Ovis aries: one gene and its partners. The protein of the gene in region 1 purifies or fractionates together with the protein of each later gene. This does not show direct contact. Links are inferred from orthologs where the notes say so. Each region holds a gene or a part of one and is shown on either strand. Other genes may lie near its edges.

Region 1 (4,522 bases):
TCTTTCCTGAGATTCGCACCTCCCCCTCCACAGGGCAGGTATCCCCATTTTAAATGCACTGGGGCACTGCCTGAGACAAGGAACTCCAGTGGATGAGCTCTAAAAAGAACAAAGCCTTTGGTGACAAGACAGATTCAAGGCACAACACCAGCCCCACCACTCCCTGTGTGGCCTGCGAGGTCACTTCTCTGAGCTCAGTTTCCCCATCTGCAAAAATGGACATACCAGGCTGCGGGGCTGTTAAATCCAAAAAGAACAGATGTGAAGCACCTAGCTCAGTAGCCGGCTCACTTGCTAGAAGAAACCCTCTGCAATCAAGGATCATTACTACTAGTAGCAAGGACTGGGTGGGGAACCCCCCAGGTTAAAACTACACTTTTCCAAGGTCCCAAGTCCATCCTGGAGCTCACAGTTCAGAGTGTCAGAACCACAGCTAGTCGCTGTTCTGCTCACAAAGTCTCAGACACACAGATGTGGCCGCAGGGACTGAGGCTGGCAGAGTGACACACAGGAGGCCCTGAGACTGGGCAAAACAGGCCGAGGACATCCATAACCCGTTCCCACCCCACGATGCTCCAAAGGACTAGCCGCTCAGTGTCTGCTTATCTGACACCAGCATCATCACATCCCAAACGGAGACCTTGCAGGACTGTTTACGGATTAGCAAGAAGCTCCGAGAAGTGAGTCCTGGCCAGACCTCAACGCAGTGAGGCCCAGAGTCTGGCTGGTTTTGGAAGCACAAGGAGGCAGGCGCCCTTGCCTGCACCTTGGACCACTTTTGCAAGGTCTCCTCCCAAATGATTCAGTAATTCAAATGCAGAAATACTTGTCTGGGAATTCCCTGGCAGTCCAGTGGTTAGGACTCAGCACTTTCACTGCTGAGGGCTTGGGCTCAACCCCTAGCTGGGGAACTAAGATCCCACAAGACTCAAGGAGCAACAACAAAAAAAGAAATACTTGTCTGAACAGACCAGAGAAGGCCCTGTGCCACAGAAGGACCACACTCCCTTCTTGGACTTTTCATAGCTTCTCTCTTTGTCCCCTCAGAAGCCCCCTCTCCTTGTACCTTACAAAGCAACCAGACACCATCCACTAAGGACTCTGTGAGTTCTCGCCAACAACGCCCCAGGTCTGTACACCCCACCTTCTGTGCCTTCAACCTCTATGGCAGGACCTGCCTCCAGTCTCCAGCCAGCCAGTCTTCTCAGCCTACTGCAGATGAAGGCCATCACTCCAGTAGGGTCCTGTGGGCCCTGTATGGGCTGGCTCCCACCACTCTCCAGCCTGCCCTCCCCTCTGCCCTGGCCACATCAGCCTCCTCCAAGCTACGACAGGCTTGATATTCCTTCCTGCCACAGGGCCTTTGCACATGCTGTTTCTGCTTCCTGCATAGCTCTGCTCTGCCCAGAATCCCCTACATGAGTTCTTCCTCACCACCTGATCTCAGCTCAAGTATCACCGGCTAGCAAAGCCTCTTGTCTCCCTCATTGTAGGGGAAGTTCCCTCATTCCACAGGCTTATGAGAACACTCGTCATAATGTAAGTAAGTGAAGTAGCTCAGTTGTGTCCCACTCTTTGCAACTCCATGGACTGTACCCTACCAGGATCCTCCCTCCATGGGATTCTCCACGCAAGAATACTGGAGTGGGTTGCCATTTCCTTCTCCTGGGGATCTTCCCGACCCAGGGATCGAACCCGGGTCTCCCACATTGCAGGCAGACGCTTTAACCTCTGAGCCACCAGGGAAGCCCATAACAGTTCTCTCAGTTTGTCATCACACACTCAACTGTGAGAGTCTCTTGTTCATATCTGCTGTCCCCACCACACTACAGAGTAGAAGCGTGTCTGTTTTATTCATTCAACAAACAATTATGGAACATCTGCTCTGTGCCCAGACTCTATGGGGGTTACTTGCGGAGAAGAAAAAGGTCACTGCCCTCGTGTAGAGGAAGAGAGAAAAACAGTAACCCAGTAAGCAAGCAAGGAGAGAGTGTGGCGACTGCTAAGAAGGAAAGAGTGATGTGCCACAGAATAACTGCTTCAGAAAAGGCAGAGGGAAGGCCTCTTGCTGGCACTAAGGCGTGCTGGCCTGGCACGTAAAAGGTGCACAAACATTTCTGTTGAAGGAATGAATGGCTAAACCTCCTGACAGCTGAACTACCACCCATCTTCACAGCAACAATGCATGGTTGGACAACAATGATTATTTCCATTTTGCAAATGGAAACCGAGGCCCAGCGGGGGAAATGACTTGATTTAGATTGCAAATTATCAATAATTTGGAAGTGGGGACGCTGCTGCTGCTGCTGCTAAGTCGCTTCAGTCGTGTCCGACTCTGTGCGACTCCACAGACTGCAGCCCACCAGGCTCCGCCGTCCCTGGGAATATTCCCCAATTACAAGAGCCTTTTTCAAACCCAATTTTTGATTCTCTCCAACATCCTAGTGGGGTAAAGGATGAGTTCATCCCACGTACAGGTGAAGAAACCGAGTTCTGGGACGTTAAGCTCCTTGCCTAAACGCCAAGGGTTGGCAAGGCCAGGCCGGCGGCGGGTGGGTAGGCAGTGTTGGCCCTTCCCGTGCTAAAGGCCTGCCTGCGACCCCGCGGACCCAGTACCTTGTTGGCCAACTTTTTGTTCAACTCTTCGGCGATGGAATCGTTGAGCTTCCTCTCAAACTGCCACGGGGGGATCCGCACGGTGTCCACCATCTCCACGAGGACAAACATCCCAGCCTGGGCCGGGGGCTCTGGGAGCCGGAGGATCAGTCACGCACCAGGGCCTGCGGCGGTGGGGATCCCCGAGCCCGCTCTGTGGAGTCCCCAGGCCGGTAAGGCGGGCTGCGCCGTAGGGCTCGGGGTGTCCCGTGCAGGGCGCGCTCCGATTCGACAGATAAAGAAAACAGGCTCAGCGGCGGCGGGGAGGTCTCCTGGCTGAGCCGGAACGGCGCGCGGCCCGCCACATGCCGCCCCTCACCACGCGCCGCCGTCACACACCGAGCATCCAGACGCAGCCCGCTATGGCAAGACCTGGGGCGAGATTCCGAATTCAGTAGCTTCCGGAGGGCCGACCAATAAGAAGCTTCGGCCCGCCCCCGACGCGGGGCGGGGCTGCCTACTGGCTCTTGCGAGGGGCGGGGGGAGGCGGGGGCGGAGCCTCCCCTTCCGCCTGCGAGGAGCTGTCAAAACCCTCAGACAGCGCTCTCAGGTTGCTAGGCGACCTCGGTGCCACCTAGTCAGCTCTCGCCTAGCCTGTACGTCCTCTCCTTGCTGGTCTCAGACAGTCCTCTGCACTACTGCCCGAGTGATCCTTTCCAAACGCAAACACAGTCTGCTTAGACCCAACCGGATTCTGGAAACGGGGAGAATTAACCGGAACCGGGCAGGCGGGACCTTTTCGGATAATAGAAATGTTCTGTGTCTCCTTTTAGCAGGTGGTTACACAGATGTATCGGAGAAGACAATGGCACCCCACTCCAGTACTCTTGCCTGGAATATCCCATGGATGTAGGAGCCTGGTAGGCTGCAGTCCATGGGGTCGCTAAGAGTCGGATACGACTTCACTTTCACTTTCACTTTCATGCATTGGAAATGGCAACCCACTCCAGTGTTCTTGCCTGGAGAATCCCAGGGACGGGGGAGCCTGGTGGGCTGCCGTCTATGGGGTCGCACAGAGTCGGACACGACTGAAGTGACTTAGTAGCAGCAGACACAGATGTATGTAATTGTCAAAACTCATCCAACTCAACATTTAAGATCTTTCTTTGCATTTAACTGTAAGCAGATTAAATCTCAATTGAGAAGCAATACTAAATTGGGACCAAAAAGAAAAAGAAAGAAAACAACCCCTCAGTGGCTTCTTGTGCATACTAAATCATTTCAATCGTGCCTGACTCTTTGCAACCCTATATAGACTGTAGCCCACCAGGCTCCTCTGTCCACGGGTTTCTCTAGGCAAGAATTCTGGAGTGGGTTGCTGTGTCCTCCTCCAGGGGATCTTCCTGACCCAGAGATCGAACTCCTATCTCTTATGTTTTCTGCATTGGCAGGCGATTTCTTTACCACTAGCACCATCTGGGAAGGCCCAGTGGCTTCCCATTCAGTTCAGTTCAGTTCAGTCACTCAGTCGTGTCCAACTCTTTACGACTGCAGCATGCCAGGCTTCCCAGTCCATCACCAGTTCCCAGAGCTTACTCAAACTCATGTCCATTGAGTCGGTGATGCCATCCAACCATCCCATCCTCTGTCATCCCCTTTTCCTCCTGCCTTCAGTTTTTCCCAGCATCAGGATCTTTTCCAATGAGTCAGTTCTTTGCATCAGGTGGCCAAAGGATTGGAGTTTCAGCTTCAGCATCAGTCCTTCCAATGGCTATTCAGGACCGATTTCCTTCAAGGTGGACTGGTTGGATCTCCTTGCAGTCCAAGGGACTCTCAAGAGTCTTCTCCATGGGATTTCCTTGGTGGTTCAGTGGTTAAGACTCTGAGATCATAATGCAGGGGACCCAGGTTTGAACCCTGGTCAGGG
Region 2 (3,388 bases), on another chromosome or scaffold:
CCTGTGAGGTAGGTATCGTCCTCGATTTGTCAGATGAGGACTCAGGCTCAGAAAGGTTAGGTAGTTTGTTCAGTCACACAATTAGTAATGGATAGAACTGAGGTTGAATCTCAAGACTCCAGACATCTCTGTTCTCTCTCATGCGCTGCCTCATGGGAGGAAGGAGGGAACAATAGCGTCTCCTGCCCTGAGAACCAAGACATCCCCAAAGAAGGAGCCTGTCCTTGCCCAGACCAATCCTTCTCCGCCTGGGGAGGGTGCAGTCCACTGAACAGCTAAGACATAAATATAAAAATAAATAGCAGGGACCAACCCCCTAGCAGTGAGGGTGTGCGGTTTCCTCACTGTGGGAAGGTCATCGTGCTGTTCACAGCCGCCGTGGAAGGGAGCCACGTGTGGGCCCTGTGGGGAAAACTGGGACAATGGCTGGAGTGGGTGGGCTAAACAGGCCCCTTCTGGGTCGAACAGATTTGAGAACAAAACGTCTGGAGCAGGCAGCAGTCGTGGGCACAGTCACCACCGTCCTCCATCTGCTTGCTTTACCGGTGTTTGTGATCCAGCAGGGATTCGAAGTTGGGAGAACAGACGAGTTTGTGCTTTATGTGTCCCAGGACTGTCATGTCGCCTGTCCTGCTGTCTCCAAGGCCCACAGAAACCAGCTCCTGCCAATCAACGGAGACGGAGATGAAAGGCAAGACCACACAGCCCACTGCTCAGTCCTCTGACTTTCATGCGATGATCCCAAGAGCTCTTCCCCCGTACTTAACACCAAGCTGTCAACATCCTGAACAGCCTCCACCCCGACCAGGCTCACTCTCACCTGCAGGAAAGAGCAAGTGGTCCCCATCGTCACGTCCAGAGTCACCTTGCCGAGGAGGAGCTGCACCTTCCCCGACTTGCGGATGAGCAGCTTGCCGACCTGTCCCTCCGTCAGGTCAGCCAGGGTACAAGTGTTCTCTGCCAGCCTGGCTTCCTGTGAAGACGATCGGGGACGGAAACTGGCTGAGGAACTATCTCCTCCCTTCAAGAACAAACCCTTTCCCAAAGGAGGCATCAGCAGCAAAGGTTAGAATGAGCTCCCCAGACTTCCCTGGTGGACCAGTGGCTAAGAATTGAACTCCCAATGCAGGGAACCTGGGTTCGATTCCTGGTCAGGGAACTAGACCCCACATGCCACAGTCAAGAGTTAGCATGCTGCAACTAACACCCCAACCCAGGGATCAAACCCGGGTCTCCTGCATTGCAGATAGATGCTTTACCATCTGAGTCACCAAGAAAGCCCTTTAAAAAAAGAAGAACAATATTTAAAAAAAAAAAAAAGAATGAGCTTCCCAGAGAGGGCCTTTTCCTGGGAATGCCTGCCACTGGTCAATAAACAAAACAAAAAAACCCAAACCACAGATAAATGAACAAAATATCAGTAACTGCTGAAGCTAGGTGATGGTACATGAGAACTTATATTCTCTCATTTGTATATGTTCAAAATAGTTCACCATGAAAAACAAACACACACACAATCTGGGCTGAAGCACAGAGAGCCCCAAGCCCCTTACAGGCAGAAAGAACAAATACGTATTATTCTCTAATTTCACTATGGGCAACACCACTCTGCTTCCCCCTCCAGGTAGCTATTTCCCCTCCAGGTCCTGTGCATCTTCACAGCACTCACTGATGAGCATACCCGGTCTTTCTCTTGCTTTATAACCACCATCTGCCCATCCTCGCTCTGCACCTCCGTCTTGACAGGCTTGATGTCCTGAGTGGGTGGCTGGCCGGGGAGTGAGTCTGGCAGCTGCAGGAACAGCAGCTCTTCCTCCTGCGTGAGGCTCAGCTCCCTGAGCAGCTCCGCCACAGACACATCCTTCGGGAGGCCCGGGATCTTCCTGGCTGCACTGAGAGGAGCCTTCATCTTGGTCTCCTCATCCTCATCTCGGGGCTCCTCTTTTACTGCCCGAGATAACAGAAAGGGAAGGCTATGAGAGGCCACCTCTAGGCCATCTCACTGCACCCACCCCTTCCACCTGATCTGCTCCACTGTCACTCAGCCAAGAAGCTGGAGGGAAACTTTGTGCTTAGAAAGAGGGATCCAAAAGTTGTGTGACTTATTTAAGAAAGGGCGGTCCAGTGATTAAGAATCCTCCTGCCAATGGCAGGAGACACAGGTTTGAACCTTGGTCTGGGGAAGATCCCACATGCTGCAGAGCAACTAAGCCCACGTGCCACAACTACTGAGCCTGTGCTCTAGAGCCCAGGAGCCGCAACTGCTGAAGCCCGCACGCCCTACAGCCTGTGCTTGGCAATAAAAAGTCACTGCAATGAGAAGCCCACACACCACAACAAAGAGTAGCCCCCACTTGCTGCAACTAGAGAAAGCTGGTGTGGAGCAACGAACACCCAGCACAGCCAAAAAATAAATAAATCTTAAAACAGTCAGGCAGGCTCACTCCTGCGGAAACAGCTGGAGAAAAGGAGACGAGACCTTAACTGACAGAGCACCTTTCACAGCAGGCATGTCCACCTCTATATCCTCTTCCTCGGGGCCAGCCAGCCGTGCTTTCACATCTGCTTCCTCATCCTCTTCCTTAAAAAGCCAGCCCGAGTGAGCCAGCGGCAGTTGCACAGGCATATTTCGAATATCATTCCTAAGCCCAGGGTCATCGATGAACTGCCAAAGAAAAGTCGGGGGGTCACACAGCAGGGCCAGCATACACACCTACCTGGAGGGCAGTCCACCTTGCCCAGCCACTTGGTCGTGTCTGACTGTAGCCCTCCAGAGTCTTCTGTCCATGGAATTTTCCAGGCAACAATACTGGAGTGGGTTGCCGTTTCCTTCTCCAGGGGATCTTCATGACCCAGGGATCGAACCTGTGTCTCTTGCATCTTCTGCACTGCAGGTGGATTTACACCACTGAGCCACCTGGGAAGCCCACAGTCCATCTTAGCTCTTTTCTAATCAAAGATTCCTGCCGCTCACTAGACTTTCAGGACATTAGAGAGCTTCTCCCATCCTGGTTCCCTAGAAGTGCTTTTCATCACAAAGGCAGCCCCTTCCCCTAGTCCACTGGTACCTACATCATCCTTCTCCAGCATGCGCAGGATCTGTTTTGTTTCTTCATCTGTCTCCCTCTTCTCCTTTTTGATGTTGATGATGTGAGAGGGCCCCACGTCTGACATATCCACGGTCTTATCCCAGTTCCCTGTGGAAAACCACCCATAGTTCACCAGGAGTCAGGGAGGAGCCAACAGCAAGGGAGGCTAAACTGGGAACAAGCAGGGGAATACCACCATCCTGGTCCTTCTCTTGGGCAGTCTGCACTGAAATCCATTGATTCCTTCCTCCCAGAGCCCCGGCAGCTTTGTACCCTTTTTCTTCATCATTTCGGCGGGG
Region 3 (4,526 bases), on another chromosome or scaffold:
TGGCATCACCCTGCAGCCTCATGAGCAGCCCCCCATAGGACACGTAGGCAGAGCTGAAACAGAAGACCCAGTCCCGTGAGTCTGAGTGCCAGAGCAAAAACTGCTACTCAGCTACTCTCCATGCCAGCCTAAGAAAAAAAGGCACCCTTCTAGAGTTCTGTCATTAGGAACCAAATTTCAGACAAAGATGACGGCACAGATATGTGCAAGGCAGTGTTTTTTATATCAGAAAGGTGGAAAATACTCCATGACCAAACTAAGGGAAATGGTCAAATCAATTAAGATACATCCATTTATTGGAATGTTACACAGCTATAAAAATGTTTAGGAATTTAAAAAAAATGTTTAGGAAAAGCTTTAAATTGACATGAGGAAACATGTTTTACATAACATTAAGCAAATGGAACAGAACAAAACATTGTAATAAACAACATGATCTCAAAGAAAAAAGTACATAGGAAAAAAAAAACCTAGAACATTCAAGAATGTTTATGTAGAAGATTCCCTCTGGTTATAGAATTATAGGTGACTTTTTTCCTTCTTCATATTACTTTTCTGCTTTTCAAATTTCTTGCAAAGGGCACATATTGTTTTAATAAGGTTTTAAAGAAAAGGAAAAAATAGTTGGGCAGAGAAACCAAAGAACTAGGGATTGGATTGCAGAGTAGCAAAACACACACACACACACAAACAAAAAAGCCTAGCAGTTTAATCACTTATGCTGCATTTAGTTCTTGGAGAAGTAACTTTCCTTGGCATTTCACTCAGCAAGATTAACAGTTTCTCATTTAGATCACAGGCCTTAAGATCCTGACAGAGGGCAAACTGACCAGCCTACATTTCAGACTGAAACTGTTCCCAAAACAGTTCCTTTCTGGGTCCCGCTAGGTCTGAGGTGCTTGAAGAAAGAAATCCAGGGAGCCTGAGGATGGTCCAGATTTTCAAAGCATAGCCCAAATTCTCACAAAATGAGAAGGGAAAGGGCTCTCACAAGACCAAGGAACTTACAGGCGTGTTGCTGCTTCAGTAGAAGTTTCGTCTCCCTCAATCCTGTACACTTTCCCATACATGACATACTCAAATTGGTCAGCCCTGTGGAACAATAGGGGCAGTTATTCTTAAATACAGTTAACAAAAGTAAGAGGCCCTTTAAAAAAATGGTAACTGGTAACTATACGCCAGCATCATAACACCAGGCACTTTCTAAACGTGATGTCATTCAATCCTCACAGCAACCCTGTGAGCTAGGTATGACCATCAATGTTATTGATGAGAAAAAACTAAGGTTGAAGGAGGTTAAGGTTATCCAACAAATAAGTGGTAGAGCTGAGATGTGAACTGAGTGGGCGTCCAAAGCCTTTCCATCACACCAAACTCCCTCCCAAGACACAAGGCCCACAGAGCCTAGGTCATTCAGTGCTCATTTCCTCCACTATCAAAAAGTGACAACTCACACTGTAATCACTGCTTTGGATAAACACCTGGATGTCTGGATTCTTAAGTGCTGCACTTTTCTTAAGCTAACAGAGTCTGCTGATAATCATTTATTTCATGAATTAAGTAAGGGTTTTTCTATACACCTATCCACTTAGTCCTCAGGCACATTTCAGGTGCTCCCTTTTCCATCCCCTCACCTGGAAGGCCTATCATCTGTGGGGTTGTATTCACCATCATCCAGAGTACCATCTTCATATAAGGTACTGGCTATGACCAACCGGAACTTGTCACCTGAAAACAACAGCGGTAGCAGAGGGTGGAGACCAGCTGAGATGGCATAAAGCCTCCTGCTGTTTGTGTTCAATACTTACCCAAGTCTACCGGGTAAATCTGAATGTTTACATCAAGGATGAGGTCCATCTTGAAAGATTCACTCTCACAATGCAGCCGAGACACTGGAGGGGAAGAGTGGCAGAAGTTAACTGCCTGTGGCCCAGGGCAGACCCTACAGGGCAGGGCAGACAGGTACTTCAGGGGCCTGGATGCAACAGAATACTCAGTCTAATGCAGTCTGTATCCACTGGCCTCTCATCTGCTCTCACAGAAGTACAGGCTCAATCAGAATCACACATGCAGGAAGGAAAGGGGAGACAACCTGTGGCCAGTGGACAGAATCCACAGAAAAGAATCAAAGATCCTCTGGCAATAAATAATATCCAGGTTCTAGGCCAACCTAAGTGATTAAGAAATAACCTGATTTGGGGCAAGGTATTCATTCATCCTAAGGTTTCCTCTTCCTGTGTCAGGTGCTGTGCTAAGGGGATTGATTATCAAGATGTGTAAGAACTGGTGTTTGTCCCGAAGAACTTATCAGTGTCCAGGCAAAGGAAGAGACACCCAGGACAATTATTGATAAATGACAGAATAAAGAGGTGTATACCAAGCAGTCTACTCTTAAACTCTGAGAAGATTTTACAAACAGCTAAAGACTCTGAGGAACGGGTTGTGAAGTCGGATTATTCACTGTACAACCTTGGGTGGGCTGCTTAGCCTCTCAGAGCAAAATGGGTAAGACACCGCCTACTCCTGGAAGAAAATAAGTGAGACAAAGCGCGTGCGAAGTGTTAAGTACAGCGCCCGGTCCAGAGCGGGGAGCGATTATAAAAGATGCCTGGAGTCCACCAGCACCAGCAGAAAAGGCCACCCAGGCAGCGAGCACAGCTTGTGTGAAACCAGGGAGAGCTCGGGAGTCTCCGTTTTCTTATCTATAAAATTATTTCTCGAGAGAGGTCCCCACACCAGGACCCACCGGTAGGGAAAGGCCACGCGAAAGTGGGTGGACAAGCAGCCTGGGGGCGGGTACCAGAGGAGATTAGCCCCTTCCCCCGAAACCGCCCCTCCAAACCTTGCTTACCTCGGTCAAACTTTTTGCCTTCCGGGTCAATGTCTTTTACATCAAAAATATCCTCAAAAAGGATGCCCGCCATGGTGAGGGGGCCACGAGAGTAGCAGAGGGACTGGGCGCGCTGACCACGACGACTAGGGGTAGCGCACCCCCTCGCGTGGAGGAAAAGAGGCGCGCTAAGACGACGCAGCGCTGAAACGGCAGCGGCAAAGGAATACAATAACGCATGCGCATAGAAGAACTGTACCGCAGCCACTTCCGCTGCCTAGCTCTCGGGGCTTCTTAACTTCCGCCCCGAACGATTGTTTCCCAGAGGTTTCAGAATTGAGGGCTGGTTTCGGGTCCAGAAAACCCCGCCCCCGGCGGCGACACGATGGGTCCCACCTCCGACAGAGGTGGCGTCGCGTCCGGCTCTCTCCCGAGGCTCTACTGCGCCCTCTTCAGAAGCCGGGTCTGGAAGACTGGAATGCTCAAGCGGCCTGCCCCAGCCAGGGACCTTGATCCTTGGCCCAGAGAAGCCCGGCCCGAGCCTTACTGTGCCGGTCTGCGTGCCCGCCGAGGGCAAGTCCGCACAGAGAGTGAGGGGAGCAGCACCCCGCCCCCAGGGCGCTGGCCCGACTGGGCGCAAAACCCAGCCCTTCCTGCTGGCACCCAGGCCGGCCCGGGCCGGCTCGTCCCAGCTGGATGTCACCTGAGCCGGGTCCCTCCAGTTTGGGAATTTGCCATGATGTCACCATGGGGAAGAGGAAAGCCTGCACCGTCCCCTTTCCTGCTCTCTTCTCTCACACCACCCCTTCAGCAGGGCATTAACCCCAAACCCACTGCCCTCCTCGAGCCCTGCCCCTTAAGCTCTGTTCTTCCCTTTCCGCTACCACGGTCCTCTCCTTCTAGACAAGCTCTCCTACGGGCTTCTTCATCCTGGCACTACCCTATCCTACAGATGCCACCTCTTTCTTTACATTGCCCCTTCCTCTAGGGTGCCAGCTCTCACTTCGGCCCCCTCCTGGGCACTGCTCCCTTACCCGGGAGCCCCCTGCGACCTCCCGCGCGCCCCTTCACCCCGGCGCTGCCTCCTCCTGCACACTGCCTGTTTCCTGGGCACTGGCCTCTCCTGACACTCTCCCTGACGCTGCTCATACACTAGTGCTCACCCCCTCTGCTCTGTCCTCCGGACCCTCATACAGAACACAAAGCCCCAGCAGGCCGTGTTCCCCCATGGCTGCTAGACGTCAGCACCTACTCCGGTTTCTCTTTGGGCCCTGCCAGGGAGAAGCGACCTCTGTCCCCACCACGCCCGCCTCCCAGGCACCTAGACCTCCCTTCCCTCTGGCCTCACCCATTCCCGTTCCCTCCCCATCTCCACCCCAACCCCCCGCACTAGCCGAAGGCCAGGTGGCTCAAAGTGCACCTCCCTGGGGGTGCTCCTGGGGGACCCGCAAAGAAGGGAAGGAGAAAGGAAGGGGATGAGAGAGACCGAGGGTCCTAATTCCAAGCAACCTCCGTTTCTGGGCCTAGCGACCCCCTCCGAGTTCTCCCCTAGCTTTGTTTTTCACCCCCCAGCAGAGCACAGGGACCTTTCCTGGCCAGTCAGCCGTTGGCCCCTCCGGTGAAGCAAGAGAGGGGACCGCCGCTGAGGGATTGGGCCCGAATCTGATTTAGACGGCTCGGCAGCCCCCGCCCCAGG
Region 4 (4,516 bases), on another chromosome or scaffold:
CATCCAGGCACACGGCACGCCCTCAGGTGTCCCCACGTGCAGCTGCCCAGCTGCCCGAGTGGTAACACAGAAGAGCAGCAGCTAGGGCAGGGCCCGCAGGCACAGGACACCTGCCCTTTTTAAAGGCTCGGGACAGGGAGCTTGACGCTCTAGGCCGAATCCTGAGCAGAGCCCAGAAGATGACAAGGCTCGTTCGTGTCCGGCACATCCTCCCCGTCTCCCAGGAAGGGCTGAGGGAGGAGCCGAGGCTCCACTCACCAGCTGATGTGCTGAATGCCTCCCTCGCGCTCCTGCCTGAGCTGCACGTATCTCTGGATGGCCTTCTTCAGGTCCAGGACCGTGGCGTTCTGGACTACAACCACAGCTGCACAAGCAGAAGATCCCCAGCGTCAGGTGGCAAGAGGAGAGCCCAGAAGCTCTGTAACTTCCCAAAGCTCAAGTCTGGGCAGGTGTGGGTGTGCCCAACAGGCCTGGGCACAGCCCGGAGTTCCCACCCACCAGCTCTGCTAACATCCTCTCCTGTGAAGGTTCAGACTGCTCTGCCAGAGCGGGAGGGCAGCACTTACGCATAACTTCTCCATCCATCTTGCACACTCGCACTGTCATTGCTTGGCCGTATTCTAATGCTATTTGGGAATTAACTTCTTCTAAAGTAACCTGGAAAAGACCAAGGATGGAGGTGGGAGCTCTCTTCACCACCCAAAACAACAAAGGCAGACAAGCTGACAGCGTTTATAAAGTTAGGCAGAACCTTCCTGAAGTCTGAGGAGAACGGAAAATGGGAAACATCGATCTTTTACTTTTTACTTGAAAATTACATTATTTCTGCTTACCCCAGGCTTCTGCACACCAATTTCTGGTTGTTTTTAAAACACTGCTGACATGTCAAATGTCCTGACCAGTCGGTTTTTCGGCGCCCCTTTAAATTTCGCACCCGAGGCCAAAGCCTCGCTCGCCTCCAGGCCCGGCAGGAGCCTTCTGCCTAGACGCTCCGCTACGCTCGGAAACGCCTTCCCCAGGCCGAGGCCGCAGCCCCCAGCGGTCCTAGGGTCCGTCCGCGCCCCGACCCCCGCCCGGGGGAACGACGCGGCCCCCGCGCACCTGGATCGGAAGGTCGCAGAGCAGCGGGTCTTGCACAACCATGGCCAGGCCCTCCTGGAACACGTCCACCGCCTCGGAGTGCGGCAGCGCCTCCTCCTCGTCCTCCTCGTCGTCCTGCGGCTCCGGCCGCGCCGCCACCCGCGGCTCCTCCAGGGCGCCGGGCTTCCCGCCGGCCCCGCCCGCACAGCTGGTCCGCGCGACAGAGGTGGTCGCGCACGCGCCGGGAAGGCTACTATATCCCCACCGTCGGGCGTCGGGGGCGGGGCCACTCGAGGACCAATGAGAGATGAGCTACTGGGAGCCGGCCCGCCACTGCTCTCCCTGGGGGCGGGGAGGCGGCGTGATTATTGGTGGGCTGGCAGGGGGCGGGGCGGGGACCACGGGGCGCTGGGAACGCCGGCGCCGTGCTGCCGCGGGCGCTGCCGGGAGCGCCGAGCCTGTGGCGGCCATGCTGCTCTTCTGCCCGGGCTGCGGGAACGGGCTGATCGTCGAGGAGGGCCCGCGCTGCCACCGCTTCGCGTGCAACACCTGCCCCTACGTGCACAACGTCACGCGCAAGGTGGGCGCGCGCGGCGCGGAGGCCGACGCTCTCGCGAGGCGCCCGCGCGACCCGGGCCTTCCCCGCCTCCTTCCCCGCCTGGACCGGCGTCCTTTGGGCCCTGCCGGCCGCCCCGTGGCGCTCCGCCCGCCGCGCGCTGCTCCGGGGGCCTGTGTAGGGCTTTTGCGCCCGGGTCGCTCTTCCCCTCTGTACCCGTGTCACTCGTCGCTCGTGCTTTTACCCGGAGGATTATTTAAAATTGCAGCCTCTTTCTCCACCTCGCCCTTCTCCTAATCTTATTTTTTTAATAGGACTCGTTTGCCTTCCATTGCGGTTTATAATTTACTTGTGCGCCTGGTTTGTTAACACTAGGGTATACATTTTTCAGTTTTCGTCCCCTCTTATGTTCTAGTCTGAACATCTGGGATATATTGGGTATTCAGTACGGAGTGATACATACTGTGTTATAACTCAGTTGTAACTCAGATGTTACTTTCCGTCGATAATGCCTCTTTCCTTTTTAGAACACCTTTAATAATTTTTAGAAGTAGAGCACGCTGGTGTTGCTGCTGCTAAGTCACTTCAGTCGTGTCCGACTCTGTGCGACCCCATAGACGGCAGCCCACCAGGCTCCCCCGTCCCTGGGGTTCTCCAGGCAAGAACACTGGAGTGGGTTGCCATTTCCTTCTCCAATGCAGGAAAGTGAAAAGTGAAAGGGAAGTCGCTCAGTCGTGTCCGACTCTTCCCGACCCCATGGGCCGCAGCCTCCCAGGCTCCTCTGTCCTTGGGATTTTCCAGGCAAGAGCACTGGAGTGGGTGCCATCGCCTTCTCCGGTGTTACCTCATTAGTTTATATGCTGCTCCACCATGTAGCAGTGCTGTGGGAGTTTAGAGTCTGAAATTATGAAGGGTGACATTTCAAGGACGGCTGGTAAAACCTGGAAAATAGTTAGAAAAAGCTCTGTCTGGGCAGAGTGGCTGGGCCACCCTGCCAAGTGCTCCACTTTGGCCTTAGTCGTCTTTGGATGTCTTATTTCAGTGACCAAGTATTGTAGAGGTGGGAGAACAAGAGGGTCACACCAGCGCCGTTTTTCCTTTCCTGCTCAGTTGCTTCATCCAGTCCTCACAGAATCTTTTTATGGGGACATCCCAATTGTGGATCCTCCTGATTCTCATGGAGATTCCTGCTCGGTGACAGCAGGAATTGTGCTTTCCTTTAGTATTCCTCCCTTCATGTTGAAGGCAGGAAGCAGAGTCTGGGCTGATACTTGAAGGCATGGTTTGGTGACCTGGCTTTGTACTGGTCGCTTCCTGGGAGAGTCTGAAGACCTGCTGTTTGTTGTTTGTTAGGTAACAAATCGGAAGTATCCAAAGCTGAAAGAAGTGGATGATGTGCTTGGTGGAGCAGCTGCCTGGGAGAATGTTGACTCTACTGCAGGTGAGAGAGAAAACCTTTCCTGTTTCAGAGCTTTGGGTAAGGGTGCAGCCAGGAGCTGTAGGTAAGGATGAGGCCGCTGGCTGTGCCACTGCAGAGCAGAGTCTGTGATGTATCAAGTGGGCTTCTGAGACTAGAAACTGTTTTCTTCTCTAATGTATTTGTTGCGCAGACAGTATTGGCACAAGCTTTGGAGTGATTCAGACCTGAGTTAGTCTCAGGGTGATCTCATATTGATGCTGATGGGATTAATTAAAAAATCAGTGTAAGGATTCTGTTCTAATATAGTTTTCTTTTAAAGTCAAAGGTAAAGAGTATTAAACTGCCCTAAATATTCTGTGAAGTAAGTATTTGAGTCTTGATTCATCTCTGATAGTGACAGATGTGACCCAGGAAGGAAAGAGAGCCCTCGACACGACCAGGCCAGAGAGGAGGAGGAGCTCAGGGCGATTAGTACTGTCTTTTTACCCCAGAGGGGGCCGTCCAGATTTGCTCTGTTAAAAATCTCTCATGGGCAGAATTTGTCACTGGGAGGTGAATTACACACCAAATAGTGTCTGAGTGTTTGAAGGAGTTTTCATCAAGAGCAAGGTTCTTGAATTGAAATCTCGGTGAAAGTAAAATTAAAAAAGAAAAAAGTACAATCAAGATCACAGGTCTCCTTCCCTCAGTTGTGAGAGCACCGTGGGAATGACACTCCTTTGCAGGAAAACCTTGCAGGGCACCTCAGGCGACGGATACTAGTTGAGCTGGGGAGTGTCTGCTGCTGTGTTTCATGAAATGTCCACTTTTAACAAGCATGTTGATCATGAGGATCGTTTGTTTTTTTTAGTAACCGTGGGTCACTGTTTGTTCTTGTTGCCAGAGCCGTGTCCCAAGTGTGAACATCCTCGAGCCTATTTCATGCAGCTGCAGACCCGCTCTGCAGATGAGCCCATGACCACCTTCTACAAGTGCTGCAGCGCGCAGTGTGGACACCGCTGGCGGGACTAAGGGCGGGGTGGCCCAGCTGCGTCAGCGTCTGCGTGCTTTACTGTCCAGGGTGCATTCCCAGCTGCGAGTGGGAACTGCGTGTCCTGAGGGTCTTGGCTGGCGTGGTGGAAAGCTGACCCTTTAAGGGTGGCTGCCCGGGGAGTCAGGAAGTCCAGCCCGCCTCCCAGTCAGCAGATTAACTCCTTGATGCTCAGAATGTCCAGATTCTGCCCATGCTGTGTGTGGACGGGAGTATCCGTCCCTGAGTGCACCCTGCTGAGGTCCTGCTCTTCCTCTTTCATGTTTATTGGGCAGTTGATGTTCTACCATCAGCCAACACTCTAATATTTACATTGTTTCATAACTAATAAAGTAAAACTTACTAGTTTAGTACATTAGATGCCCCTGTTTAACTGTTAATTGCAAACTTATTTAATTAAAATTTATCCTGAATATTTAATTAAAGTTAA
Region 5 (3,545 bases), on another chromosome or scaffold:
GACCGCAGCCCTGGATCTGTAGCTATCTCTGAGAGGGAGTTTTTCAGCTTAGGAAATGGAGATGGATGTAGGGACAGAACAGAAACTGAGACAAAAGTTGCTTTGTTTTTTTTTCCACTCCAGAACTACTGAGTTCAGGATGCTTGAGACAAGGGCTGGGCTACTGGAGGGTCAGCAAAACATTTTCCTTATCCATCTTATGCATTCTGTCACCTAGAGATAGTCCATGGAAGGAATTCTAGGAAAAGGTCTATATAGTAGTGAAAAAACTGGGCAAAAGTCACTTCTTCAGCCCACTTCATAACCTTTAGCTCTTGTGTGATTTTTTTATTGACCAGGTGCTTGGTCAGATCTCCATACTTTTCCCTCCCAAATTATATCTTTGTTTTTTTCCAGTGTGTTCAGAGTTATCAAGATGGTCCAGGATCCTGATTGTAGAAGTATCAGTTCTTTTCTTATTAATTTTACTTTCTCTATTTTCTCTCTTTAGTTTTCTGTCTTCTTTTAAATCTTCCAATACCAGATTAGACCTAATGAATAAATGATACTAAGAACTGGATCTCCTTTAATGGGTGTATATGTAGGTTATAGTTCCTTAAAAATTAATAGACATAAGAGAAGAGTATGGGAAAGGAAGACCCAAAATATCCACCCACTTAAATGGAGAAACAGCTGGGCTAGGACCCAAGGAAGACTACTTAAGTGAGCCCATATGCAGATGTCCTGAGGTGAAGTAGGAGTTGTGTATCAAAGTCAAAAGGAAGTCCAGTAGAGACTTTTGTGCTTTAAGGGAGGGATGTATTTCCTCTGGGTGAAGAGCTATAGCTGGTTCCTTCCTTCCTCAGATTTTTCTGTGCCAGTTACTAGTCACATAGAGCTAACTAAATTTAAAACAAACAAAAATAAAAATTCAGTTTGTCAGTAAAAGCAGCCACACATTTCAGAGCACTTGTCACGTGTGAATAGTGCCTATTGTATTAGTGCAAATGTACCACCTTTCCATCATTACAGAAGTTCTGTTGGACTGTGCTGGATTTGAGCTATTATGCTATCAGGAGAGGGTGCATATGTTCTGGCCCTTCAAGGCTCAAGTCTCTATCAGACCTTGGCTGTAAGTTATCTACCCTCTCCATCCCCTTGTATCACACTCCAGTAGCCAGGCTGTGTACACAACCAGAGTTGTGTGCTCCATGGTCTCCCCTTCTCTTTGTCCTGCCCTCTGGCCAGCTCTTGTCCTTGCCCCACCCCTCCAGTCCCTGGAAAACAAGCTCCAGAAAAATTTTCCATCAACTTTGACCTGGTTTCAAATCTGGCCACAGATTTGAAAGAGGGAGGAGGCTCTAAATTCGTGAACAGGTAAGAAATGGAGGAGGCAAAGGTGAGAGTGAAGGTGACAGTCACCATGGCAACAGAGCTAGAACCTGATGCCTTGATAAAGAAAAAACAGGAGGCGCAAAACAACTACTGAGAATGAAAGCTAGACACAAAGACAACTGCAAAAGAATCTTTTCAATCTCACTTTCTGTTCAATTTACATTGATTTTATGAACGCTGTTGGCTCAGACGGTAAAGAATCTGCCTGCAATGCAGAGCCCAGGTTCAATCCCTGGGTCCGGAAGGGCTACCCACTCCAATATTCTTGCCTGGAGAATTCGAGAGAGAGGACCCTGGTGGGCTACAACCCATGGGGTCATAAAGAGTCAGACACAACTGAACTAACACTTTCATTTTTAATGAACTTTTAGGAGTCTGAAGTTGGGAATTACTACGTGGAGATCCACAGAAAAGCCAACACCCCTCTCCCAATAAAGGCTAAGACTAAATTTGTCTGCAGAAGTTTAAATGAAACAGAAATCAGAAAGTATGTTAACTTCTGCCATCTCAGGGTTTATCAATGTAAGTCACTCCTTTAGGAATAATAATCATTTCAATTAGAGGTGGAGTTGTGGTATCAATCTGTTGTTATTACTCTACAAAGAAGTAACAGGAACTGTAAACCATACCCTAACGAGGAAGGTGGATTTGAATGTTCAGCAAACATTTACTGAGTTATGATCATGTGCCTGAATAGGAATTGTTCTAGGAGCTGCAGAGATTTAAAAAAAAATGGTAGCTGTCTTCAAAAAAGTTGATATTCATTAACTGTAAAAATCCTTTAGTCCTGTTTTGTCTTCCTACATATAAACCACATTTTTACTGGCAAGAAACTATGATGAAACCAAAATAAGAAATAAAAGTACCATAACACTTTCCTCCCAAATGCCCTTACAAAATTCATTTCTCTGTATTTTAGGAGCTCATTAAACAAATAAACAAACAAAAAAAGCCTTATATACTCCAAAGCTGAAGAAATTTAGTAATGATTAACTAAAGATGTAGAAAACCAGATCAGACCACCAGAAGACCCCACTATTCACTGAAGTTCTTCAGTGAATCGGACAAAAGACAATGTAGCTCAAATTCCTTCCCTCCTCACCCCCATTCTGACCATAGTCCTTAGGATCAATAAGAAATGGTTTCTCTATAGGGTTTTCAACAATCTGAGTTGTGAAGTAAGGGGGAAAGCTCCTTTAGGCACATTTTCTTTCTAATAACTTCAATATTATCTTACAGACAAGAAGAGAAACATTTTTTTGCCATTAAAAAACTTTTTATTTTCTTTTTTTTTTTTTTTACAAAGAATACCCCCACCTGGGGTGAAAAATATATCTGGTTAAGTACAAAATATAGTTTTTCTCATACAAAAAGATATACAATTAAAAAACAAAAAATGAAACCACCTTCAGCCCACATACTTTTTCAGAAAAGGGTAGATAGAGCTCAGAGCTCTGACACAGGACAGTGAACAAAGTGCTAAGGCGGAGAGTGACTGACCAAGTGCTAGAGGCTGCAGTGAGACAGGGGCTGTCAACAACCCTGTCTCCTAACACTGGGCAGGAAGTGAGCCCTTGGGGCTTCTGTGAAGATCTGCCTTCTGGTTTCTCATGGCAACATCTGGATGCTCTCATCACAGTGCTGGGGCATTTTATCTAGGGTTCCTCCTTGGGTTTGGAGAAGTCACAGTGGGCAAGGCTGATAGCAGCAACCCTTCTCATGTGATCAGTGTCAGAAATGCAGAATTCTGTACACTGGGACAAAGTCTCAAAAGCAGGAACACTTTTTTTTTTCCCTGTCATTGTGCTTACCCCTAGAGACATAGTAGACCAGTTTTAGCTTACATCTGAGAAAGGAAAAAACCCCAAATTTGACACAAACTAAAGTGCTAAGGACATTGCCTCAGAATCAATTCCAAGGAGTCACACGAGAAAAGAAAAAAACATTCTCCCACATAAAAATGTTTGCCAACAGGAGAACACAGTGCAACAAGCTCTAAAAATGGCTTTTAAGACCTCTGGTGGGGCACAGTTACTACTGCTTTATGACTGATTAAAACTACTTTCTAAACAATGAAACTTAAAGCTCCTCCCCTTTAATTCACATGGGAAGCTTGCTCCAGAGTCCAAACCCAATCAATTCTGGAGGGCTTTTCTTTTTCTGTAAGTGTA
Region 6 (3,858 bases), on another chromosome or scaffold:
GAAAAGCAGTATTCAAAAAAATGGATATGGTAAAATACTGATATATGTCTCCACAATGAACACATTTCTCGTCTAGCATTGATATGTGATGTAACTAAAAAAATACATCCCACACATCCATTCTCCCAACATAGCTGAAAACGAAATCCTCAACCAGTGCAACCAGAAGCCCACTGAAAATAACAAGGTGAGACATCAAATAGGAGCAGCACAATCTGTGTATATCTGTGTGTGTATATATATAAAATGACACCTTGTAATTAAAAAGCCATCGCCTCTGAGGAGTGGGAATCAGGTCAGGCAAAGCAGGAGACCAGCTTCCCATACAGCTTTCAGTCTTATTTGTTTTGAAGAATACGCACTTACTACCTTTTTTTCCTTTTAATTACTGGAGTAGTTCAAGAGTAGGAAACCCAGATGCCACCCACTCTGGCCAAAAGCACAGAGATCTGTTCCAGATGGCTCTCCATCACAGAAGGCCCTGCCCCTCTGGTGTTCTCAGCCTGCCTGTCAGTCTCCTTCTAAGAGGCAAAAGGGGACACAGATCTTAGTGGGGGCTTTTGCTCACTCCCTCTCCCAGTTCCTAAGGACAACACCTGGAAAAGGACAGATCTACTGGAGTCTAGCAATTAAATCTTAATCTTTGAAATTCAGGCAAGCTCATGATTTAAGGAAAACTTCTGGACCTCAGATCCTGCTGGTTGAATTAATATTCTGTTCATTCCTGTCCAGGTGTGACTAGAGGCAAAAGGACTGATTTCTCTGACTTCTGATCTGATACCTGAGATTGATAAGAAATCCTTTTGATTCCTGCCACCATCAGTCATCTGAGAAATGTGGTCCATCACCGGTTCACAAGCCTGGCTGGGCAGTAGAATCATCTAGAAGGCTTTGTAGAAACTTAAATATCTAGGACCCTACCGCATTCCTATAGAACTAAACTGAATCTCTGGGCAGTAGAATCATCTAGAAGGCTTTGTAGAAACTTAAATACCTAGGACCCTACCCCATTCCTACAGAACGAAACAGAATCTGTGTACTTTTTAAAAGGTGTTTCTGATGCAGCCAGTCCTGACATTTGGGAACCACTGCTTTTGGCTCACACCACTGGCACATCCAGTATGTTTTGAAATATATGGAGAGACAGAATATTTAAAACCGGGAGCGGCTGGAAAATTTGAAATGGATATGACTATACTTTGGGTCTCCCCAAAGGTCCCCCCCTGCAGAACACCGCCCTCCCCCTTCTGGGGAGACTGGAAGGTCACCTCACCTGGTCACTAATGTCTCCAGATTCCCAGAGGGCGAACACCTTCTGCTCATCCGGGGAAGCAGCCGTCTGTGGGGGAAACTGACCGAGGCCCAGGCGTGAGTTGGCCATTTGGCTCTAACACATGAATCCACCCGCCTTGGTCCTGTCGGCCTGCACCCGCCCAGCTCTGGGAACGGAGTTCCAGTCCTAGCCTCTGCCTCTCGCTAGCTGTGGGCGGCTGCAAACCTACTGCGGCTTCTCCCTCCTCCTGAGCCACACGCGGAGACCGCTTCCATGAGACACAGACAAACCCAGCCCAAGCCAGACGTGCTCGGGAAGGCGGGGAGGCGGCGTCTGTGTTTCCCATCAGCCTGCCGCTAGCTCTCCCTTCTGCTTTAACATCCTGTGTCCTCCCACCCTCAACCAACCCTCAGATGTGTCTAAGCACTCCCACCCCCCTAAATCCTTAGGAATATCATGGGATCCCTTTCACTCCCTCCTCCTCCAAAGCCATGTCAACATGGGTTAGAGGCCCTGATCCACCCTGAGCAGCCCATGCCACGTGGCTCAGCAGAGTCTGAAGACGGACCACGGAGAGGGCAGCCCAGGCTCCTGGTGCCCGGAGAAGGGGACGGTGGAAAGGGCACCTGGCAGAGTGGATTCTGGTCTTGGTACCACAACCCAAGTAACAGTAACAATTCCTACCACGTAAAGTCCCAGGTGGGCTTTAAATCTCATTTGCTACCAGAGAGGGAGCCGCTCTCCAAGAGGGAGGTCCCATGCAGCGAGGTTTACTCAGTGTTCACGGCCACGCCACTAATAAGCAGCAGCGCTAGGAGCTAAGTCTTGGCGCATATACTTGCTCTCCCTGAGCCTCAGCTCCTTTGTGTTAAAACAAAAAAAATGAGGCTGGATAGGTCTGAGGAATCTTCTGCCTTGGACGTGACTAAGATACAGAGGAGAGTTAGCAAGGGAGCTGGAAGAGAAGGCCAGGGTCTCCTGAGTCGAGAGGCCGACCCTACTGAGAAGTGTAGGACGAGCGGGTCCTGGGGGTGGCCACTCATGCCCCTTGTCGTCTATCCCCTCCAACAGCCCGAGATGGCCTGGCTAACATCAGGCAGGTGCCCCTGCCCTGCCTGGCTCCGTCAGAGAAAGGTGAGTCTGCAGGTAACTGAACCTATCACTGGGTGGACAATGGAGGGTCCAAATAGGGCAGGGTGCCCAAGCCCGCTACCTTCTATAGAGACCTCACCGAGGGCCCCGTGCCACGAGCGCCAGATCCCCTGGGAAGCGCCAGCCAGCCTGGGACCCAGGGCCTCTTGCCCTAGTTTCTGCTCCTCACATACACAGGGACGGGCCTTTGCCTCAGGTCACCCGAGGCTGCACATGCTTCTGATCTTACGCTGAGGACAGCAGTGCTCCCTTGTTAAGAGGCATACACAGCCCACTTCACCCGACTCGCTGACAGGTCTGGGAGGAGAATGAAGAGAGCACCCAGCCGGGCACCCTTGTACCCTCAGCTCAGGGAAGTGGTCTCCAAAGATTCCTCTGCTCCTGTATTTCCACCCCTCTAGGACCCCTTCCAATGACGGGACAAGACAAGGAGCCCGGGGTGGGGGTGGCCCACCCTGCACCTGCAGGCCTGCACCAGAAATGCTCACTGAAAAGCCACAGAGCTGGCCAGCCAGCTCTAGGACAGGGAGGCCCGCCGGGACCCAGGTGCAGCTGAGGGCTCTGGTGAGAGGTCAGCTCCTCTCAGCTGCAGCAGAAAGGATTTAAGACTTGCAGCCACTGTACTGAGGTTCAATGTCCGGCTCTATCACTTCCTGGGCAAGTGCGTTTTATTTCTTTGAAACTCAGTTTCTTCATCTGCGGTTACAAGATCAAATGGCACTAGAAGTGAAATCATCGTAAAAAATGGCAAAGCTGGCAGGAATGGGTGGGGTGCTGGCACAGGAAGGGGCTAGACCCGGGGATGGGGAGCTGGCATGGCCAAAGCCCTCCTGTGTGCCAGGCAACAGGTGATGGCCTATAGGCACCCACTCAGCCTTCAACAAAGCCTGTGACACAAAACTAACATTTGCCCACTTCAGATGAGGGTGCAGGGCTGGGAGGCTGACCAGCCCAATACCGTACACAGCAACCACGTGGGATCCTACATTTACACTGAGGCCAACGGTCTCCCAAGTGCCCCTGCCCCAGGCACCCTACCAACAGCTGTTTCCCCAAAGCCAGCAGAGCTCAGGCCAGTCTGGTTGCCAGCCTCTCTCCCATAGCCACTTCCTCCTGGACAGGCCTGCGTGCCCAGGAGCCCTCCACGGGGCCTCGTCTGCCGCCGGGGGTGCTACTTACAGGCACCAGTATCTGCTTGCAGCCGGCGGCCAGCACCGTGTCCTGCAGCATGCGGTCCGAGATGCCGCTGAACAGCATGTGGCCGGGGGGCAGGCTGGCCAAGTGCAGGTTGAAGAGGCGCTTGAGTTCGCTCAGGGTGAGCACAAACTGTTTCTGAAAGGTGGCCTGCACAAAGGCCCTGAGTTCCCGGGCTACGAGGGTGCCAGCAGAGCCGGAGGGTGGGTGCCCATTGAAGCTGTCCCCGCCTGCCGCCC
Region 7 (4,201 bases), on another chromosome or scaffold:
CAATGGACATGAGTTTGAGTAAACCCTGGGAATTGGTGATGGACAGGGAGGCCTGGTGTGCAGCAGTCCATGGGATCACAGAGTCGGACACAACTGAGTGACTGTACTGAAATAGTCCTGCCCCCGCCAATTCATTCTCTACAGTTCAGAGTGATCTTTCCAAAATACAAGTCTGCTCATTTTGCTTCTCCGTGCTCTCAGGATAAGCTAAGCTACTTACCACAGCACAGCAAGGACCCACCAGTTCTTGCTCCTGCCTGTCAATTCTGGTAGGATTTATGCCGTTTTCTAGTCATATCATATTTGTGGTTCCCCTAAGAAACAGGGTCTGCTTCCCTCTGGGGTCTTTCCCCCTTTCACCTGGTAAATCCCTATCTTTCAAAATACAGATTGTGTCACTTCTCTTTGCCTCCTTTCTTGCCTGACCCTTTCCCCCTTCACTTCTATACTACAGCCCCCCAACACATCCTTGTACTTATTTGTCTCCTTTCATTACGTTTGTGCTAGAGGGTATTCATCTTTGCATTCTAGTACTAACTTGTGCTCAAAAATGGCGGTGTCTTGAAGGCAGAGATGGTATTGTATTAAGAGTTATCTTTGTGTATTGTCTCTACAGTTAATTGGCATTCCAATGTTTAATGAATTAGGACTAACACTTGGTAGGAGCAAACTGAACTGATTATGAAATAGGACCTAACTGCTTTAAATGAAATGAAGCTGCTGGGACAAATTATACCAACTAGTCATCTATCCACAGTACTGAGAGAGGGAAGTTACAATTGCCAGTTTTTAGGAATAGTGGTGACGAGAAAGGCAGTGATTTATTGAGTGCTTACCATATGCCAAGCACTGTGCTAAGTTTCACACACATAATTTCAGATGTGTTAGAAGCCCAGAGCTGGCAAATGTGCCATTTATCCATAGATTCTAGTATGACTGCTTGGGCCAATCCACCTGCTAGCCCTAAAAATAGCTTTTATCCCCCTCTCGTGGTAGTCTTTCACATTCTCTACACTGTGTGTGTGTTTAATATTACAGTTTAACAAAGTAAAGAACAGGTGCAGCTTTTTGAAAATGGGATAAAAAGCTTAGGAAGAAGTTTTTCTCATTGTCAGGGATGTTCAAACACAGCTTTAGCTGACTTCTCGGTGGGAACTGATGCATCTAATAGGTGATTAATCTAGTTGATTTAAGGTTCTTTCTCCTGGCAGGATTTGATGAGGGTAGAATATAAAGATGGTTCTAAAACAGGATCAGCAAACTTAAAAAAAAAGACAGGTCACACTCTTTCTGGTGTACTCCGGGTGGTAGGGAGAGGGAATGTCAGCACAGAATCTGGATCTTCTCCTACTCCTTTATTCTTCCTTCCAATCCCCTCAGATCTTTGGAGGAAGACTTTTCTTCTGGGTCACTGTCTCTTCATGGTGCTCTCGATGTATGACTCCAGCAGGAAGATGGTTTCATCCACCTGGATCTCACAGGCATCCAACCTGAGTGAAATAAATGAGAGCATTTGTCCAGACTGAACATTTATCAGCACATTTAAGATTAGAGGCTGGACTGGTTATCCTCGAAAGTACTGGGCAGAAAGCAAGAGAACTAATAGCTCATTCTCCCATTGACCAAGCATCTTGTGTGTGCTAGGCACTGTGGAAATTGATGAGGATTCAAAAAACACCACCTCTGTCCCAGGAGAAGTTATAGTCTAATTTGCAAGGAGGAAAAAGCACACAGCAAAGGCACAGGTGTAAAAGGACCTAGTGTATTTTAAAATAGAAGCTGAGAGTGGCTGAGGCTGAAAGTGATTAGGAATAGAAGGGAATACCACTTCTACTGATAATACTGATAAAAATCATCTATGAAAAACCCATACTGAGCATCATACTTAGTGGAGAACAACTGAAAACTTTCCCTCTATGATTAGGAACAAGACAAGGATGCCTGCTTTTTACTTCCATTCAACATTTCACTGGAAGTTCTAGTCTGGAAATTAGGCAAGAAAAACAAACAAAAGGCATTTAGATTGAAAAGAAAGAAGTAAAGCTCTTTCTAATTCACAGATGACATAATCCTATAGACAGAAAAAACTCAAAGGATCCACAAAAAACTTACCACATCTAGTACATGAATAGGCAAAATTGCAGGATATAAAATCAAAACACAAAAATCAGTTCTATTTCTATATATTGGCAATAAACAATTCAAAAATGAAATTTAAGAAAACACTAAAACAGCATCAACAAAGAATAAACAGGAATAAATTTAACAAAAAAAACTATAAGACTTGAATACTGAAAACATCAATGAAAGAGATTAAGGAAGAACTAAGTAAATGGAAAGACCTTTCATATTCATGGGTTGGAAGATTTAGTATCATTAAGATGGCAATCTTCCCCAGATTCAAAGCAATCTCTATGAAGGCCTATGGTGACGAGTGAAAGGAAATGAGGAAGAAGGGACAGGCTAGTAGGAGACCATGAAAGGACTTGTATGTTACACCAAGGAGGCTGGTCTTTACGCTGTAAATAAGAAGTCAATAAAGCATTTAAAGTAGAAGAGTGCTACTATCAATCCCTTTAAAGAAACTAACTTTGAAAGCATTATAAGAAATGGTTTGAAGGGGGAGGTGACTGCAAAGGTCTTGGAAAAAGGTGAGAAGGGCATGCATGGAGAGCAAGATGAAAGGCCAAATTTGGGACACCTCTGCTGAAGTAACATCAAGAGTTGCGGTGAACATGAGACAGAGAGAGAGAGAGAGAGAGGAGAGAGAGGAAAGAGAGGAAAGAGGAGAGGAGAGAGAGAGGTGAGGGAGAGGTGAGGGAGGAGAAGCTGAGAATATCTTCAGAAATTTGAGCTTAGGGAAATAGGTGGATTAAATTCTGTTAATTGAGGTGAGGAGGAAGATAGTGAGTTTCAGTTTGCTCATGTTGGAGGGGTGGGAGGACATCAAAGTGGATTTGTTTGGAGGGCATTTTGAACCAGAGCTTTGAAGTTTGTGAGGCTTACTTGTTGACGTTGCGCTTCAGGGTCTCTAGCTGCTGGCGTTCGGGGGCTGTGATCATCTCCTCAATTTCCTGCAGTTGCGCCTCCTCTGCGCCTGTAGCCTGCATAGATGCAATGATGGCTTCTACCCTCTGAGACTTTTCTAGTAGACGTCTGTCAGAAAAACACAACTCTGAGGCATGTCCCCTAGCCTTGGAGATTTCATCTCATACACCTGGGGCATATCTCCCCCTTTACCATGTTCCTGGTCAAAGTGGACAATGTCACTCTCTAAGGATGTTTCCTACAAGTTTAATTAGAAATGTGACTTTATTCCTGAAACTCTTGCTGCTTCTCACTTGTACTTAAAGTTTGGTGCCAGTTTATATGTTGCCCATAAATTTAATCTGCAAAACTATTTCACTGGGGATATCTGACAAAAGTGTATATGAATGCATGACCTAAGCCAACCTAAGCCAATAATTCAGTGCAACCAGACAGGTTATTATCTCTACTGGTTTCCATTTCTGTAGGAAATTTCCCCATAAGCTTTTTGGCCTTGAAATATGTAATTACTCAGCTGAAAATGTTACTCACTTGTTTTCTTTGGTTTCAAATTGTCTCCTTTCTATTAAGTTGGCTACACTCTGAGGAGAGAGAAGAAATGCACATAGTTCTACATAAGTAGCTCAGGCAAAACAGCTAAAGGGCACGTGAGGCTGAGACAGCTCTGTAGAGGGAATGCGGAGGAGTTACCTTGTAGCACCTGTGCAGCAACATTCGGGCAGCTGACAGGATGTTCACAGTATATAAATAGAAGGTCCGGGATGGGGCATGGTCTGGTGTTTTGGGAATTTCCTATTTGTCCACAAAAAGAAAAATAAGAGACATTATACTTTCCTTCAGAACTGGCAAAGTAAATACCTGTGCCATCTGGAGTTACTAAGCCCTCTCTTTCACCTATATTCCCTCTTCCCCAGTCATATAGCATCTGTGTTTATAGCATAATCAGCCATATGGAGGGCTGGGATGTCCTGTTTTTTCCTTTGATTGTCAACATCCTGAGTGAGGAGGAAAGAGAAGGCACTTAACATTTATTGAGCAACTCTTATGTGCCAAGTAGACTGCATTTGATTTTTACAACAAACTATATTATTTCTGGAGAAGGCACTGGCACCCCACTCCAGTACTCTTGCCTGGAAAACCCCTGGACGGAGGA

What was found.
Region 2: the proteins of POLR3H (region 1) and POLR3D purify together in Homo sapiens (affinity purification with mass spectrometry; 6 studies listed by BioGRID and IntAct, counting the BioPlex papers as one, with this or other methods). This does not show direct contact. The link is inferred for Ovis aries from reciprocal best matches to the Homo sapiens genes POLR3H and POLR3D.
Region 3: the proteins of POLR3H (region 1) and POLR2H purify together in Homo sapiens (affinity purification with mass spectrometry; 5 studies listed by BioGRID and IntAct, with this or other methods). This does not show direct contact. The link is inferred for Ovis aries from reciprocal best matches to the Homo sapiens genes POLR3H and POLR2H.
Region 4: the proteins of POLR3H (region 1) and POLR3K purify together in Homo sapiens (affinity purification with mass spectrometry; 3 studies listed by BioGRID and IntAct, with this or other methods). This does not show direct contact. The link is inferred for Ovis aries from reciprocal best matches to the Homo sapiens genes POLR3H and POLR3K.
Region 5: the proteins of POLR3H (region 1) and POLR3GL purify together in Homo sapiens (co-immunoprecipitation; 4 studies listed by BioGRID and IntAct, counting the BioPlex papers as one, with this or other methods). This does not show direct contact. The link is inferred for Ovis aries from reciprocal best matches to the Homo sapiens genes POLR3H and POLR3GL.
Region 6: the proteins of POLR3H (region 1) and POLR3E purify together in Homo sapiens (affinity purification with mass spectrometry; 9 studies listed by BioGRID and IntAct, counting the BioPlex papers as one, with this or other methods). This does not show direct contact. The link is inferred for Ovis aries from reciprocal best matches to the Homo sapiens genes POLR3H and POLR3E.
Region 7: the proteins of POLR3H (region 1) and POLR3C purify together in Homo sapiens (affinity purification with mass spectrometry; 5 studies listed by BioGRID and IntAct, with this or other methods). This does not show direct contact. The link is inferred for Ovis aries from reciprocal best matches to the Homo sapiens genes POLR3H and POLR3C.

Annotation. Positions count from the first base shown.
Region 1 is NC_056056.1:218,449,356-218,453,877, forward strand, and holds the start of POLR3H (DNA-directed RNA polymerase III subunit RPC8), read right to left. Parts: upstream 3,049-4,522; 5' UTR 2,728-3,048; coding exon 2,617-2,727; intron 1-2,616.
Region 2 is NC_056055.1:43,361,957-43,365,344, forward strand, and holds part of POLR3D (DNA-directed RNA polymerase III subunit RPC4), read right to left. Parts: coding exon 3,363-3,388; intron 3,198-3,362; coding exon 3,073-3,197; intron 2,666-3,072; coding exon 2,497-2,665; intron 1,948-2,496; coding exon 1,670-1,947; intron 974-1,669; coding exon 821-973; intron 663-820; coding exon 540-662; 3' UTR 1-539. UniProt on the Homo sapiens protein: DNA-dependent RNA polymerase catalyzes the transcription of DNA into RNA using the four ribonucleoside triphosphates as substrates.
Region 3 is NC_056054.1:203,611,912-203,616,437, forward strand, and holds the start of POLR2H (DNA-directed RNA polymerases I, II, and III subunit RPABC3), read right to left. Parts: upstream 3,059-4,526; 5' UTR 2,925-3,058; coding exon 2,852-2,924; intron 1,893-2,851; coding exon 1,809-1,892; intron 1,729-1,808; coding exon 1,635-1,728; intron 1,093-1,634; coding exon 1,009-1,092; intron 54-1,008; coding exon 1-53. UniProt on the Homo sapiens protein: DNA-dependent RNA polymerase catalyzes the transcription of DNA into RNA using the four ribonucleoside triphosphates as substrates.
Region 4 is NC_056077.1:658,825-663,340, reverse strand, and holds the start of POLR3K (DNA-directed RNA polymerase III subunit RPC10), read left to right. Parts: upstream 1-1,549; coding exon 1,550-1,660; intron 1,661-2,989; coding exon 2,990-3,077; intron 3,078-3,939; coding exon 3,940-4,067; 3' UTR 4,068-4,516. Other genes in the region: SNRNP25 (U11/U12 small nuclear ribonucleoprotein 25 kDa protein), read right to left, coding at 259-364, 567-657, 1,102-1,392, 1,474-1,551. UniProt on the Homo sapiens protein: Core component of RNA polymerase III (Pol III) which synthesizes small non-coding RNAs using the four ribonucleoside triphosphates as substrates. Can mediate Pol I proofreading of the nascent RNA transcript.
Region 5 is NC_056054.1:99,305,467-99,309,011, forward strand, and holds the end of POLR3GL (DNA-directed RNA polymerase III subunit RPC7-like), read left to right. Parts: intron 1-1,745; coding exon 1,746-1,913; 3' UTR 1,914-2,776; downstream 2,777-3,545. UniProt on the Homo sapiens protein: DNA-dependent RNA polymerase catalyzes the transcription of DNA into RNA using the four ribonucleoside triphosphates as substrates. Specific peripheric component of RNA polymerase III which synthesizes small RNAs, such as 5S rRNA and tRNAs.
Region 6 is NC_056077.1:20,542,970-20,546,827, reverse strand, and holds part of POLR3E (DNA-directed RNA polymerase III subunit RPC5), read right to left. Parts: coding exon 3,605-3,858; intron 1,352-3,604; coding exon 1,274-1,351; intron 1-1,273. UniProt on the Homo sapiens protein: DNA-dependent RNA polymerase catalyzes the transcription of DNA into RNA using the four ribonucleoside triphosphates as substrates.
Region 7 is NC_056054.1:99,181,481-99,185,681, reverse strand, and holds the end of POLR3C (DNA-directed RNA polymerase III subunit RPC3), read right to left. Parts: intron 3,841-4,201; coding exon 3,739-3,840; intron 3,659-3,738; coding exon of another isoform or gene 3,630-3,658; coding exon 3,580-3,629; intron 3,157-3,579; coding exon 3,007-3,156; intron 1,491-3,006; coding exon 1,409-1,490; 3' UTR 803-1,408; downstream 1-802. UniProt on the Homo sapiens protein: DNA-dependent RNA polymerase catalyzes the transcription of DNA into RNA using the four ribonucleoside triphosphates as substrates.